2 linked regions of the Lonchura striata genome follow. The protein of the gene in region 1 interacts with the protein of each later gene in a pairwise test. Links are inferred from orthologs where the notes say so. Each region holds a gene or a part of one and is shown on either strand. Other genes may lie near its edges.

The links. The genes of interacting proteins can lie anywhere in the genome.
Region 2: the proteins of MTUS2 (region 1) and SLC25A6 interact in binary tests that used the Homo sapiens proteins (3 or more experiments, as listed by UniProt). The two-hybrid records come from large-scale screens. The link is inferred for Lonchura striata from reciprocal best matches to the Homo sapiens genes MTUS2 and SLC25A6.

Annotation. Positions count from the first base shown.
Region 1 is NC_134604.1:68,699,024-68,706,096, reverse strand, and holds the start of MTUS2 (microtubule-associated tumor suppressor candidate 2), read left to right. Parts: upstream 1-4,061; 5' UTR 4,062-4,130; intron 4,131-7,073. UniProt on the Homo sapiens protein: Binds microtubules. Together with MAPRE1 may target the microtubule depolymerase KIF2C to the plus-end of microtubules. May regulate the dynamics of microtubules at their growing distal tip.
Region 2 is NC_134604.1:83,189,539-83,196,874, forward strand, and holds the start of SLC25A6 (ADP/ATP translocase 3), read left to right. Parts: upstream 1-4,321; 5' UTR 4,322-4,420; coding exon 4,421-4,531; intron 4,532-5,633; coding exon 5,634-6,120; intron 6,121-6,814; coding exon 6,815-6,955; intron 6,956-7,336. UniProt on the Homo sapiens protein: ADP:ATP antiporter that mediates import of ADP into the mitochondrial matrix for ATP synthesis, and export of ATP out to fuel the cell.

The DNA of each region.
Region 1 (7,073 bases):
AGAGAATTGGTTTAGGTGTAATTTACATAGAGCTCCCCTACATCTTCACAGTACATGTTTCTTTGGGAGGCTGTGTCAAGCCAGTCTGATGAGAAGAGCAGCATAGACAGAGCCAGCTTCTCAGTGTTTACTGGGACACAAGAGTTGTCCCACTTTACCTACACTGATAACAGTTTAAGTGACCCAGTCACCACTTGTGTTAATGGAAAAGTGTCTGTGTTGTTATAGCTATTCAAGACAAGAAGATACCTAAGTTAGTATCAGATAGCCTCATACTGGGACAAGTGTATCAGCACTAGAGTTTTACCCGGTGTAACTGAAGTTTAAGATGGCATTTAAATAAAAATAGCTGCTATGACTACAGCAATTACCTAAATTAAAAAACAGAAACAAAAATAAAACCAAAACCAAAATCCTGAAACAAATTAAAAACAACAACAACAACAAAAAACCACAACCCAAAAAGATATATAAAAATCACACTTTCAATTGCAATTTTGCTCATAAACTGTGTGCAGGGTAGACCTGGAAGGTTAAGGAAAAGTTCCCCTAGGAGACAGTAGTTTATGCATCTTACCCAGTCAGAGCTGGGCACCAGGGAACTGCCTATCTGTGCCCCCAGGCTGCAGCTCCAGTGCCTTCTCCTGTGCCCTCAGCAGTGCTTGCAGCCCAGGGGCTTCTCTGTGGACCCTTCATCATCCAGACCCAAGCTGCATCCTCTGTGGTACAAAAACCCTTAAAAAAATCTTCTGGAGCTAATAGCCTTTAATATGATGTTGCAGCTTTTGCAGCTTTATCTGAGCATAGGAGGAGAGGCTATTTTTTCCCCTGACTTTGATCATTCCCAGATAATCTGTAAAGCTGAACACTGATTGCGTCTCTTGCTTATTTCTGGAGAGAAATGAGCCTTGTGCAGCTTTCTGGCATCCCTAGCTTTGTATTTATCAGTAAGTGCTGCCACGGGCACAGACTGGCTATATCCATGTTGCACATTGCTTGATCCTAGACTCCCATCTGGTGCCCCTGTGGCCCCAAGACATTGGTATTAATGCAGAGATGTTTCCTTTTTTTTTTTTTTTCTTCCAAACCTATGCTGCCTGAGCACATATAAAGCTGTGCAGCAGCCCACAGGAATGGTGTTTTATTGCATGAAATAGGCTATGGATTGTATGACGTTGGGTGATAAATGAAGTTTATGGCTGAAAAACCTCCTGTGACAGAGCTGGCAGACTGTGTAGGGTGAAGGAAATGGGAAGCACTGCAGTCCCAACTCTGCTGCTTGCTGGGGACAATCCCTCCTGTATGGCACCCATAGGCTGTGCTCAGGCTACATGGCATTGGCCTTGCAGCGCACTTAAAATTAATCAGCACGGATGATCACCAATCCAGCTGGTTCCCTGGATGTCTGTCAGTACAATCAGAGCCACTGAGGTTTCCTGGTGCTTGTTTAAACACCAGGGATGAAGCCTGGATGTGCAGCAAAAGGTGCCTCCAGTGTGCCAACCATCCATGCTCTCAACGACAGGGAGGGAAGGCCTGGGGCGCTTGCCAGGTGAGCCATGGCCAAGGAGTGTGGTTATGCCATTCCCCAGTTCCATCATGTCCTGTCTGGTGTGCTCCAAGGCAGGCTGTCCCTGCCCTGGGCCGGGGCCTCCTCTCTGCCTTCTATTTCCAGCTCTATGTGTGAGGCTGTTCTGCCACCTCTCTGTAGCTGCAGCAGCTTGTTCCTAAACACATTGACAAAGTGGGTTCAGCTTGAAACTGCTCTGCCTGAATTTATAAAAGCCATCCGCCCTTCAGTTTCTCATCATTTTCTTTTACTCTTTGCAGCATAAACAGCTATTCTTTTGTTATGCCTTCTGCTTGTTGGAGCTGCATAAGAAATCTTTCTATAGGCTAGAGAACTCTCTTCCAAATGTTGAAGAAAAACAAGTTTATGTGAATTGTCTAGAGCAGATAATTTCAGTTCTGCACAAAATCTAAAAATAAAGCGAGGCCTACATTCTACAGCTAAGTAGCTTTTAATTAGGTGTGATAACAGCATGAGTTATCTTTTAGAGTGCAATAGTTCCATGATCAGAAGTCAAAAGAGGGGAGCAATGATTGTTTGCAAAAATGATTGAGGGAAGAAATTGAAACTGGCAAGTATCTGGGTTTTTTTCCATATAATAGATCTTTTCAGACTGATAAATATTTTGAGTTAATTTGGACTTTCTCTGTTATTGTCCCTGTTTTAATAGAGCCAGTGGATCCTTTCAAATACTGATGTAAAAGAAGGCAGTGAAAGCCTGCTAATTCCCTGTCATCAGTGGCTTCATGGTAATGCCTTTGGACAAGACAAATGGCACTGCTGTTTCCTAAAAATCAGTGGCTGAGGTACAGGATGGCTTCAATCACTTCTTCAGAATCCCCTCTCCTTATTTTAGCCATACATAAGCTCAGGGCTTGAACATAAATCATATTCTGAATTTTGAGCTGAGGTGCAGCCATGCAGCCATGTCTCCTGTCCCGCCTGCTTTGCTGGGAGGCAGGAGGGTTCATGTCCTAAACCACTACAGATAAACTAGCCAGTGCCTGGTTTGTCAGGGTTTGTCCTCCTTTGTGCCAGCAAGAGAGATGCTCTCAGTGACTTTACCAGCTAAGATCCTTTATCTTCATTGTCTTTGTAACTGAAGCGTAGCATTTAGTCCAGCGTGGTGTGGGGGAAGAACACAGCTTTATTCAGCAGGAAGACAAACCTTAAAGGAAGGTCCTTTAAGGATAAAAGACAACGTTATGGTGCCACAGGGATTGTACTTGGCACTTCAGATTGCAGACAGATGCAAGCACAGTGTGTTTGAGCACAGGCAGAAATAAGAAAGTTATTGTGTGCCTGGGAAATAAGGATATATCCTGTGACACTGACTGTCCTGCCGTGTGAGCCTGTAACACCAGCCTGACCAGGCAGGCCCTGAGAAAAGGAAGACTTTCCTCAATACTGTACTGAATCCCATCTGCCAAAGGGCCAGGCTGGCACTGTTATGTAGATAATGGACATTTCTTTCCATGTCTCCCTAGACTCCTAGGCTCTCTCTGTCTCATAGCTCTGTGTAAGCTCCTGGTTATTCTCCCGGTGTCTCCAGGCATCACTGCAGGGGCTCCCAGACAGGAGGATGCTGTGTATCATCTGGCTGGCCTCGCAAACCAGGAATCCCTTCATCACCCCCTCCTGAACAGATCCTCATGCATTTGCCCAGAGGACTTCATAAAAATTAATTGAGTTGCCCAGCATTAGACACAGATGATAAAACTCCCATCTGATCTCGTGCCTGCTTGCCGATTTTAACAGCTGATTGAAACAATAAGCGCTAGCTCACCGGGAATGTAACAATGCCCATAGAGAGAGCTGTAGCACGGGCTGTAGGTGCAGATAAGGCTGTAAACGCACAATAAAGATTCCCTGCCGGTACCACAGAGCTCTCTTTGCTACGGGAGTAAAACCCTCGGGCTGCAGTTTAAGCATAGTAAAAGTGATGGAGATTACCCTCCGAGTTACAAGTTTTGTTGAAAAGCAAAATTGTGTCTCTAGTCGAGTATTTATTTATTCGTTTTTCTATTCTCTTGCTCATTGTAGGGTGAAAGAGAAATGAACTCGGAGCCAAGGAGCACTGGAGGGCAGGCAAGCAAGGAGCAGAAAAGCCATACCACGAGCAAGTCCCTTTTCTTCCTGATGCCATCAGAGGCACTATTACACAGACGCTGACCCTAAACATTTCCCTTCTTCCCCCACCTCCCCCCCAAAAAAACCCCAAAAATCAAACATCCCATTCGGAAACCTAATAACAACCACCTACGTGCTTCCAGGGCGCTAACCTGGGAAATAAAAAACATCTGGGGAGCCACAGGCGCGCCCCACAGCCGCGCCGGCGGGCGCTGTCTGTGCGCGGTGCGCCGCGCTGCCGGCGCGTCTCCGCGGGCGCGGGCGGAGCGCGGGGCGCGGGGCGCGGGGCGCGGGCGGGCCCGCAGGGGGCGCTGCGGGGCGGCGTTGGCCGCTATAAAAGCCGGGCCCGTGCCGGGCCCGCGCCGTCCGCCCGGCGCGGCAGCGGCGGCGCGGCAGCGGCGGCGGCACCGGGGCAGGAGCACCGAGGCGGGTGAGCGCCGCGCGTCCCGCGGGCAGCGCCGGCTCCGCTCCCGCCTCGTGGGTGTGCGCCCCTCCCTGCCCCGCATCGCCCCGGGGCTGCGGTTGCTCCGTGCTCACCGCCCCCGGGGCGCCGGGAACGGGACATGGGCAAAAGCTCCGGGAGATGGGGATAGCTCCTGCGCGGACGGGGCGCGGCGGGGCTGGTGGCTGCTCCTGTACCCCTGGTGCGGGCAGGAGATGGGGGAGCAAGCGCAGCTTGCTTATCAGGGTGGATAATATTTGTGATGAAATCTGTTCAGACAAAAGTTCTAGGGATGCCAATAGCCGGACTGGCTCGAGCGGGCTTCGCTCTCCGTGCGCGGATCGCAATTGCCGGCTGCACGCCAGCAGCGTGCCAGCGGGGCGACAGTGCCGAGGGAAGCAGGGTCCCGGGAGGGCTGGGGACCCCGGGGCACGGCCGAGCCTTCGGCACGGGCCAGCGGAGGGCTCAGGGCAATGCCGGCAGCCCACGGGAGCGCAGGGCTGAAATGCTGCTATTACTCTCAGCCTCGTGCGTGGCATATAACAGCATCACAATATTTTTCCGAAAAATGATGGAAGGTAAAGTAGCTACTACGAATAAAAAGCAGCGTTTTCCTAAGGAGGGAAAGCTAAACGTGGGAAGATAGGGCAGCGAATTCAGGTCTTCCTACTCAAGTAAAATGCCTCTGCTTGAAGAGCTGTTCATCTAGATCGGTCGTTTCCAACTCTGTTTAAATGAGTACGGGTACCCTTTCCCTCTTTGCTTTATCCCCTTCTCTATCTTTGCCCCTGCTTCTTTCTCCCCGGTCCCCATCGCTGCCTCCCGAAGGTAACAGTGCAGAGGAGGCTTGTGTGCCGTCGCACCAGCCCGTACAGGTACCTGTGTTAGGGAGCCAATGATCCCTAACATTGCACTAAACATGAAAAGAATAAGCCTTGACATTTATAGTTGCATTAAAAACTGCAAAGGTAAAAAAATATAAACACCTCTCTGCGGGTCAAGCATTAGAAATATTTGCTTATAAAGCATCGGTAGCAAAATCATTTGCATGTCAAGTGTTTGCATGCAGGTTAACTTTGCAACGGATGACTGCATTAAGGAGGCACTTGGCAGCCGATGAGCTGGATGTAATGTGATGCATAAATGCTTTGTTTTGGTTCGTGTAAATGCTTTGTTTTGGTTCGTGTGTGATTTCATTCAGGGATTGTTTTATGCTCCCTACATCCAGTGCAGTGTTTGTGGGTTTTATTGTTTCTCATCCCCAATTTCAAGCAGGGTTGTAGGCTTTTCTGTATCCCATGCTACATAAACCCTTTACTAGGTCTGCCTGTTTCCAATGCAATTAAATATACCCAGCTACTTGTCTCCTATTTATGCAATCTGTTGTGGAGAGCAGCGCAGCCTGTGCTGCCGGAGAGCGGTAGGAGAGAGCTGCGTGTGTGCAAATGAGGGTTAATGTCTCATTCCATGGTGCCTAGCCTCGCCTTAATTTCTGGAGAATCAGCTCTATTTTAAGGTACAGAAGGGGGATTCTGTAAGCAATTCTTTCAGCGCTACACTGTGAGTTTGGAAATTGCTACCTGGGAACGGGGGGGTGGGGGGAGGGGAGGGATGATCGGATGGGACACAGAGAGAGGAAAATGTTTGTAGGGCTGTGTCCATGTGGTTTATTTGCAGTAGCTTTTAATATGGTACTGTGTTTCTCTGTATATTTGTCACTTTAAGGACAGAGGTGGATATTAGGCTATTGATCTAACAAATGGCAAGTGTAGGGTTCGGTCAGATAAATAGTTTTTCTCTATGGTAGCATTTTCTATCGTGGTACATTTTGTTTTAGTGATAGCAACTGTAACAAGTAGGAAAGCAACTTTAAACTCATAGCCTTACTTTCTGGAGTGTGTATTTTTATGTAAAATACATTTATGTTATAGTAAGCAATATTAGCTATTTAGGAAGATAGGAGAGGTGAGCTAACAGCAGAAGTGCAGCTGTAAAGCACATTAGAGGCTGTGCTGGCAACCTGGTAACCAGTGAGAATCAGTCCTCTCTCCTAAGTTAGGAGAACAAAGATTTTCATCTTGCAGTGTGTGTTCTCTGTTTCTGAAATTCATTCAGGAAGTACCAGAAGTCAGTGTAGGACAGAGTTACAGCCAACTCCACTTACATATGCACTCTCTGGAAAGTCACACAATGGCAGAAAAAGTTAAATAATACAATACAATAGAGACTCATACACAGTAGTTGGTTTAACATTTGATTGAAGGCTCTATAGAAGAAAAGATCTAGGCATAATAATGGATATCTGGGTGAAGATATTTGCTGAAATGCCAGCAGCAAGCAGTGCAAGAGGATCTCTGCTCCTCCTCCTCCCCTGTCCAGATGCTGAGGCTTACTAAAAAGACTATTGAGCCAGCTGATTTAGCAAATGCTTTCACTTGACAAGTACTGCATTTTATCAGAAGTTATTTATAATTATACTGACCTTGTTTAAATGCAACTATTACCAAACCTGCTGCAGTCAGTTTTGTCAAAGAAGTCATAAGCAGCAGAAATTGGAAAGAAAGTAGCAAAGGAGAGCAAAACTTCAGTGTATGGTGGTTTGTTCTTCCCTGAACTTTTTTTACTGCAGACTCAAAACTGATGAAATAGTTTTTCTTTAGGAAAATAATTCAGATGGATTTTTGTACAGCTTTGGCACTATCCTAATATAAGAAGCATCCTTGTGAACTTGGGAATGCTGTTGTTTTCTGTTGCTGGGTATACATTTGATGCTGAATTCTCTGGAAACCTGATTTGGTTGTTGTTCTGCCCTTTGCTATTATATGGTATCATCTTGCTATTCTGGGTTTTCCAGTGGAGAACTGGAAAGAGGATAAGATTCAGTGCTTCATCTAAGGTGACCAGAAAGATCTCCAGAGTTCAACAAATGCT
Region 2 (7,336 bases), about 14 Mb from region 1:
TGAAGCCAGTCCTAAAGAAGCTGAGCTGATTGCAGAGCTGCCCTGCTATGAGTGGGAGGCTGAACTAGAGAGCTCCTGTGGTCTGTTTCAGACTCAGGTGTTCTACAATCATGTGATGCAGCCAGTCACCTGAGGAATTATAAGCTCATTTTACTAATATACAAATTAAGTTTTTCAGTTGCTCTGAATATCTTTTGCTGACTGGTAGAAGGAGTGGATTTAGTAGTCTTAACACTGAAAAGATTCTAAGCAATATGCATAACTAAGGAAAGATTTCCTAACATGAAGAATGAGGAGGGGTTAAGTTTTAAAACTTTTTGATTATTATCGAATGTCTGAGCTGTACAAATTGGAATGGCTCTGAGGAGATTGTATTAAAGTGCAGAAAGGTATGAATGTTACACTGCGCTTCCTAATAAAATCACTCTGAACTGCTGCTATTTTCATCTGAGGTGGTGTAAGGCCAAAAGGCAAGTACGTATCGCAATGCTTTTGTCAGTAGCCTTCTCTTCACATCCCTTTCCCCTCACAAGTCTGAATATGGAGAAGAAGGGTCTGTAAATCAGATGATTTAAGTTCTATTTTCATCCTTAGGTCAGTCCCACCACAAAGAATTTTAGGTCCTACAGAAATAACATACAGAATGTATACAGAATGTATTGAACAGAAACATTGACTTCTCCTTTGCTTCTGTAATGCTTGCCATCCACTCTTCTCTCTGCTTGGCATTTCAACATGAATGTGAAACAGCAGTATATCTCAAAGAAATGCAACTCTATTCCTGTCTTACTGTTTTCTATAGTCATCATGCCAAGTCTACAGAAGTTATCCCCTTTTTCCTCTGAAAACAGAGACGTGATTTGACTTGTGAGTGTTTCATCACTCCATACTGTGAAAGGGAATTTCCTGGGGTTTGTGAGAGGAGTGGATTATTCATTGATTAGTGGATTTAATAGCAGAGCAAATCTATAAATGATAAAGGAAATCACCCAGGTCTTGTAGTTTGCACCCCTCTATATGGCAGCAGAAATTGTCTTGCCTGATAATGGATTAGAACTGTTGCATGCATTTGTTTTTAAACTAGGCTGTGCAATTTTGCTGGTTGAAATGGTGTTGGATAATGAAAAGAAGAACAGGAGCACAGCTCTGCTGCAGTCTTTCAACATGCTTGTGCAGACAGAAGGAAAGGAGAGAAGTGGCTCTGAATATCAAGCTTTGCTGGAACAACATGGATTCACAGATATCAGAATCAGAATAACAGGAAATTTGTTAGATGCCATTCTCTGTGTTAAGACCTAGAAAAAACGTATTAAGCAGTAGTCTGGATGTCTTATGTTTGATGTTTTGTAATTATCCAAATACATTCTCAACTTCCCATCAATACCATAAACAAGAAATGTAACGAGAAATGTCAGCTTTTTGGTGTTACTTCTCAAAAGGGGGAAAGATTGATTACATTTATTTTAGACTTCAGTAGAATGATGCCAGGAGATTCTGTGGCTGCACAACATGTGTAGGACACAAATGGTGTCATCAGCCTAAGGGCAGTATTCACACTGCGAGAAATCACTGTTTCTTCATAGTTGGTGCAAGTAGAATAGTAGAGTTTTTAGACCAGCGCACATTGCTTTGCCCCTGTTCTAGGAGGTTAATGTTGGTATCATTTTAATGCTACATCACCATCCATTTTAGTATCATTTTATATTATACCCTCTACTGTAAATAAACATACTCTAATCAACTCTGGAAACTGCTACTGCAATGGTGTAAGATTGGAAACAAGAACTGGAGCAGCAGCTTCCTGAGAGAGTCAAGATGGACTGCTCTGCTTTGAGAGAGGCTTCCAAAAAAAGGCAGTTATATAAAAAGCACAAGTTTTCCCTGTGATTGTAATTTGAGATTAAATGTGAGGGCACAGAGTTTGTTTCAGGAACATCATCCCACACCGTTTTAGCTCTACTTAATTTTGAGCTCCCAAGCTGAACAGAACATGACAATTACAGACTGAACAAGTTCCCCATTACAAGTTATGTGTCTTTTACCTTCATTTTTCACACTGATGATACTCAAGAGTCTTAGAATGTGAAGTTCTTTTTAAATCAATAGAAAATTTTATGGTGAACAATATCTCAAGTCTTGCAGACAAAGTATTGTCCTAAGAGAGTATTAACATTCAGTTATGGGCTTTTTTTTAAAAAAAAGCCCATAACTATGTGTGCCTCCCTGAATGAATGTACCACAGCATTTCATAAAATTATGTTTAGAATATGGTCTTCTAACACCCTATGTGCAAAACCCTCTGTGAGCACAGGAGTCACTTCAGTCTATTATGCTTCAGAAGAGCACAGTTTACTTTTGATCTTCTGGTATGCAAAAAAAAAAAGTATAGTGACATATCTTGTACTAGAGCAGAGACAAAGACTATGCCTGGCACTTTTTCTTCTCACAACATGCTCTCTTGAGAGACATGCTCTCATTTTGAAATCCTGCAAATTACATATATGTGTAAGCAGTGGTTTCTGGCATCTCAGCTACTGCAGCTTTGTGGTTCACCAGTCGCCTGTTTAAAAAAAAGGTTTGGCCTTATTTACTTTGGTTGGAAACACCCACTAAAAGTGAAAGCAGGTGATGTGTACTAATGCCCTCCAGCTAGAACAATTTCAACACATTTTAGAAAGAATAGGTATAACTTCAGACAGAAGTTTGACAAGTTCAAAATATCAATTTCAGCATACAGTAAAATTAGCAAAGTCACTGATAGAAACCACACCTGTCTTGGTAGGGCCTGAGTGCCTGCCAGGAGTGCTTGCTCTGACAGCCTGCAGAGGAGGTTTTCACAACATCTAACTTCAAGTGCCCATACAAGAAGTTGGAACCACCCTGTCCTATGGTCCCACAGGAAACTGCAGCTAAGTCCTTTGGTATTCCGTTGTCTTGGATCAGTTCAGTGATATACAGAAAAGCCCCATGATGTGACCCTTGGCACTGGCAGTACTAAGGAGGAGGTGGGAACAGAACTTGGGAATAAGGATATGCCATGGATTAGCATTACCCAGAAGGTAGAATGGAGCAAAACTGACAGTGCCTGAAATCTGCTCCCCTCCACCCGAGAGCTGCTGCTGCCCCACAGGGAGCCCATGCAGAAAGCTGTGTCTTCCTTCTAGACGGGCTTCGAGCAATTGCTGCAGAGCCTGCTAGTTCACTAGCTTGTGAATGTGCTGCTCATTGACTACTGCTTGGGCCCACAGACCCACACCCCAAAGCCAGTGCTCCAGCAGCTCACACTCAGCTTCACAGAATCAGAATCACAGAATCAGTTATGTAGGAAAAGAAATCTCAGACCATTAAGTACAATCCCTGACCCAAAACCACATCAGCAGATCATGGCACCAAGTGCCACATCTTTGCTTAGATACACCAAGGGACTTTCACAAGACCACTTCCCTGGACAGTCCATTCTAATGTCTCATCACCCTTTCTGTGAAAAAATTCCTCCTAACGTTCAACCCAACCCTCCCCATGTAAGGCTCGAGGCTGTTTTCCAGGCAGCTAGCTGTCCTGTCGCTGGCTGCGTGGGAAAAGAGGCCGACCCCCACCTGGCTACAGCCTCCTTTTGGTGGTTCTAGAGAGCGGTAAGGTCACCCATGAGCCTCCTTTTCTCCAGGCTAACCAGCCCCAGCTCCCTTAGTCACTTCTCACGGGACTTGTGCTTCACCAGCTTCATTCTCCTTATCTGCATCCACTCCAACACTTCAATGTCTTTCCTGGACTAAAGGGCCCAGAACTGGGCACAGTACTCGAGGAGTGGCTTCACCAGTGCCGAGTGCAGGGGCAGGATTACTGCCCTGGTCCTCTTAGCCAGGATGCCATTGACTTTCCTGGGCACCAGCTGGCTCATTTAACAATGCTGCCACCAGCACCCAGCGTCCCTTTTACGCAGGGCAGTTTCCTAGCCAGTCTGCCACCAGTCTGTAGCCCTGCACGGCGTTGTCGTCACCCAAGTGCATTTGGCATTTGGTCCTGTTGAATGAACCTCATACAGTTAGCGCCCATCGATCGCTCTGCAGAGCCTGCGTGCCGGGCGGTACGGGGGCCCGCTGGGCTGTGCAGGCTGGGCGGGCGCTACCGGCAGCGGCGATGGCGGAGAGCGCTCGGGCCGGCGGCCGCGGCGGGGCCAATGGCGCGGGCAGCGGGCGGGCCGCGGCGGGTGACGCGGCGCTGCGACACTGGCGCCGCAGCGGGGCGGAGCGCGAGGCCGGGCCGCGGGCGGGCCGCGTCCCACCCCCCGTGCGGCTGGCCAATGGGGCGGCGGGGCGTGGCCGGCGCGGCCGGCATTAAGCCCATGCGCGGGGCCGCTCCCGCCCTTTCGGCTTGAGCGGCAGCAGCGCTTCCTTCCCGGCGGCTCCGGCGCGGCGCGAACATGGCGGACCAGGCCATCTCCTTCCTCAAGGACTTTCTGGCGGGCGGCGTCGCCGCCGCCATCAGCAAGACGGCGGTGGCGCCCATCGAGCGGGTCAAGCTCTTGCTCCAGGTCAGCGGTGCGGGCGAGAGAGGGCGGCGCGGGCGGCGCCCGTCGCTGCCCCCGTGGGCGCCGGGCCGGGCGGGGGCCGCGGCCAGCGCCGGACAAAGGGCGCGAGCGAGGCGGCGGCGGCTGGCGGAAGGGTCACGTGAGCGGCCGCGGGGAAGCCGAAGCCGGTCCCGCCATGCGGGGCGGAGAGCGGAGGGAGGGCCGGGCCGAGGGGGGCGGCCGCCGATGGTGTCACTTCCTGCCGCCCCCGCTCCCGGCGCCCGGGGCACGGCAGGGAGGGGAGGGCGGCCGCTCTCCGCCGCCATCTTGGCGGCCTCCACGTGACGCGCGCCCGGGCCGCGATTGGGCGGCGGGCGGGGCGGGGCCGGGGCGCGGCCGGCGCGCGCGGCCCGGCGTGACCCGCGGCGCCCCAAGGTGACTCGAGTGACCTTCGCCGCGCTCCCCCGGCCCCGCGGGCACCTCTGCCGCCCTAACGCGGCTCTCGGGAGACTCCCTCCCCAGGCCCGGCTTCGTCAGTAAAGGCTCTCAGCTCTACGTATGCCCGGCGTATTTGTCGTGGTGTATTTGTCTTATACTTGCCCTTGTACTTCACCGAATCAGTTTGGTAAAGACCTCAGAGAGATCATGAAGCCCAACCTAATGCCACGTAGTCTAATTTAAAGTAGACTGTGGCGCTAAGTGCCTCATCCAGTCTTAAGCACTTCCAGGGATGGTTGCTTCACTAGTCCCTAGGCATTCCGTTCCAAAGTCTAAACACTTCTTATCTGAAGAAATTCCTCCCCTGCTTCCCCCTAAACCTTCCTTGGTACAGCTTGAGGCTGTGTTCTTTTGTCATGTCACTAGTTGCCTGGGAGGAGAGGCTGGCCCCCACCTTGCTACAGTCTCCCTTCAGGTAGTAGAGGAATTGCTCACAGTTTTCTGTTCTTGTTTTGCCAAATTCTGATTTCTGGAAAAGCTTGAAAGCAATTTTTAGTCTTCTTCTTTGTAATACCAACAATGGCCATTCAGAATTAGCAACTTTGTTTTATAGTAAAAGCAGGTTTAAGCCCAGCTGCAGCATAGACCTGTAAAGGCAAGTGATCAATATTTGTATTTTTACTTGCAGGTGCAACATGCAAGCAAACAGATTGCTGCTGATAAGCAGTACAAGGGCATCATCGATTGTGTAGTGCGTATTCCAAAGGAACAAGGAGTGCTGTCTTTTTGGCGAGGAAACTTGGCAAATGTCATCAGATACTTCCCAACTCAAGCTCTTAATTTTGCCTTCAAGGATAAGTATAAGCAGGTGTTTCTGGGAGGTGTAGACAAGCACACTCAGTTCTGGAGGTATTTTGCTGGTAACCTGGCATCTGGTGGTGCAGCTGGAGCCACTTCCCTCTGCTTTGTCTACCCCTTGGATTTTGCAAGAACCCGTTTGGCTGCTGATGTTGGAAAAGCTGGTGCAGACAGAGAATTCTCTGGTCTCGGGGACTGTCTAGTCAAAATCACCAAGTCTGATGGTGTGCGTGGCTTGTACCAAGGGTTCAATGTCTCTGTGCAAGGCATCATCATCTATAGAGCTGCCTACTTTGGGATCTATGATACAGCAAAAGGTAATATTTCAGAGGGGATCTGAAAAACCTGTTTTTAGAATTGCATTCTCTGTTTTTGGATATGTGAAAGTGAAGGGGGATATCAGTGCCACATCCCTGACACTGCTGTATACAAAGGAAAACTTGTACATGTATTAATGGGAGCAGCCTACCTGCAAGTACTGGTTTTGTACTTCAAGCAGTTGCTACTAAGGCCAGGAGAGTATGTTGGTGACCAGACAGAATAAGAATAATTTATTTTTTGTTCAGTGCATACTGAAGTTACGTTGGACCAGTTCAAGTGTGTTAAGCAGAATGGGACTGAGCAGTGCCTTCTGCAAAGTAATTTTTAAGCTTGACATCTGGGGAAATAAGCCATTAGTGCTAGTTTGTAGTGTAATGTTATCCACAGGGACAGTGACTTTAAGTGATGTATTTTTAATAAAAGTGTAGTGAATAGTCAAGTCTTCTCATGCCAGTCTAAAAAGAATGCTTGTGCTTAAAATACTTAAACTGTGATTACTGAGAAGAAAGTCTTCCAAATACAGCTTCAGTATGTTTAAAGTTTGTGAAATGTTATGCTGCAATTTTATTTAGACTATGGGTTTACAGTGTTTCATACTAGTTTATCTAGTAAAATAACTGTCATGCAGAGAGTGCACTAGAGGAGGATGTGCAAGGTAAAAAACTAATTGCCATTTTTGTTTCACTGCAGGCATGCTCCCAGATCCCAGAAACACTCACATTGTTATCAGCTGGATGATCGCCCAGACAGTGACGGCTGTGGCTGGCGTTGTCTCCTATCCTTTCGATACAGTGCGGCGTAGAATGATGATGCAGTCAGGACGCAAAGGAGGTAGGCTCTAAATCCATGGAGCTGTTAATGCTGTTGAAAAAGCTTTAACAAGATTAAGTTCTTTTTTACTAGTAGCCATCCTCAGAGTTAGAGTTTATTGTTCCAAAAATCTGGTTTATTTTATTGTACTCAAATGAGGAAATGCAGTAAGGCTCAACCTGAGATTATCAGGATTTATGCTGAGGACTTTTCATTATGGAATATGAAATTAAAAAATGGACTGCCTGTTTGCACTGTTAGATTAAACAAAGGTATGAAAAAGGAGGCATAATATTTTAGCAAGTATTGTGTTACAAGTTTTAAATTGTGGTTTGGGACATCACAAAGCAGTTAAGTGAAACAGGACAGTTGTTAAAATTACCTGAGATAAAATAGGAATTA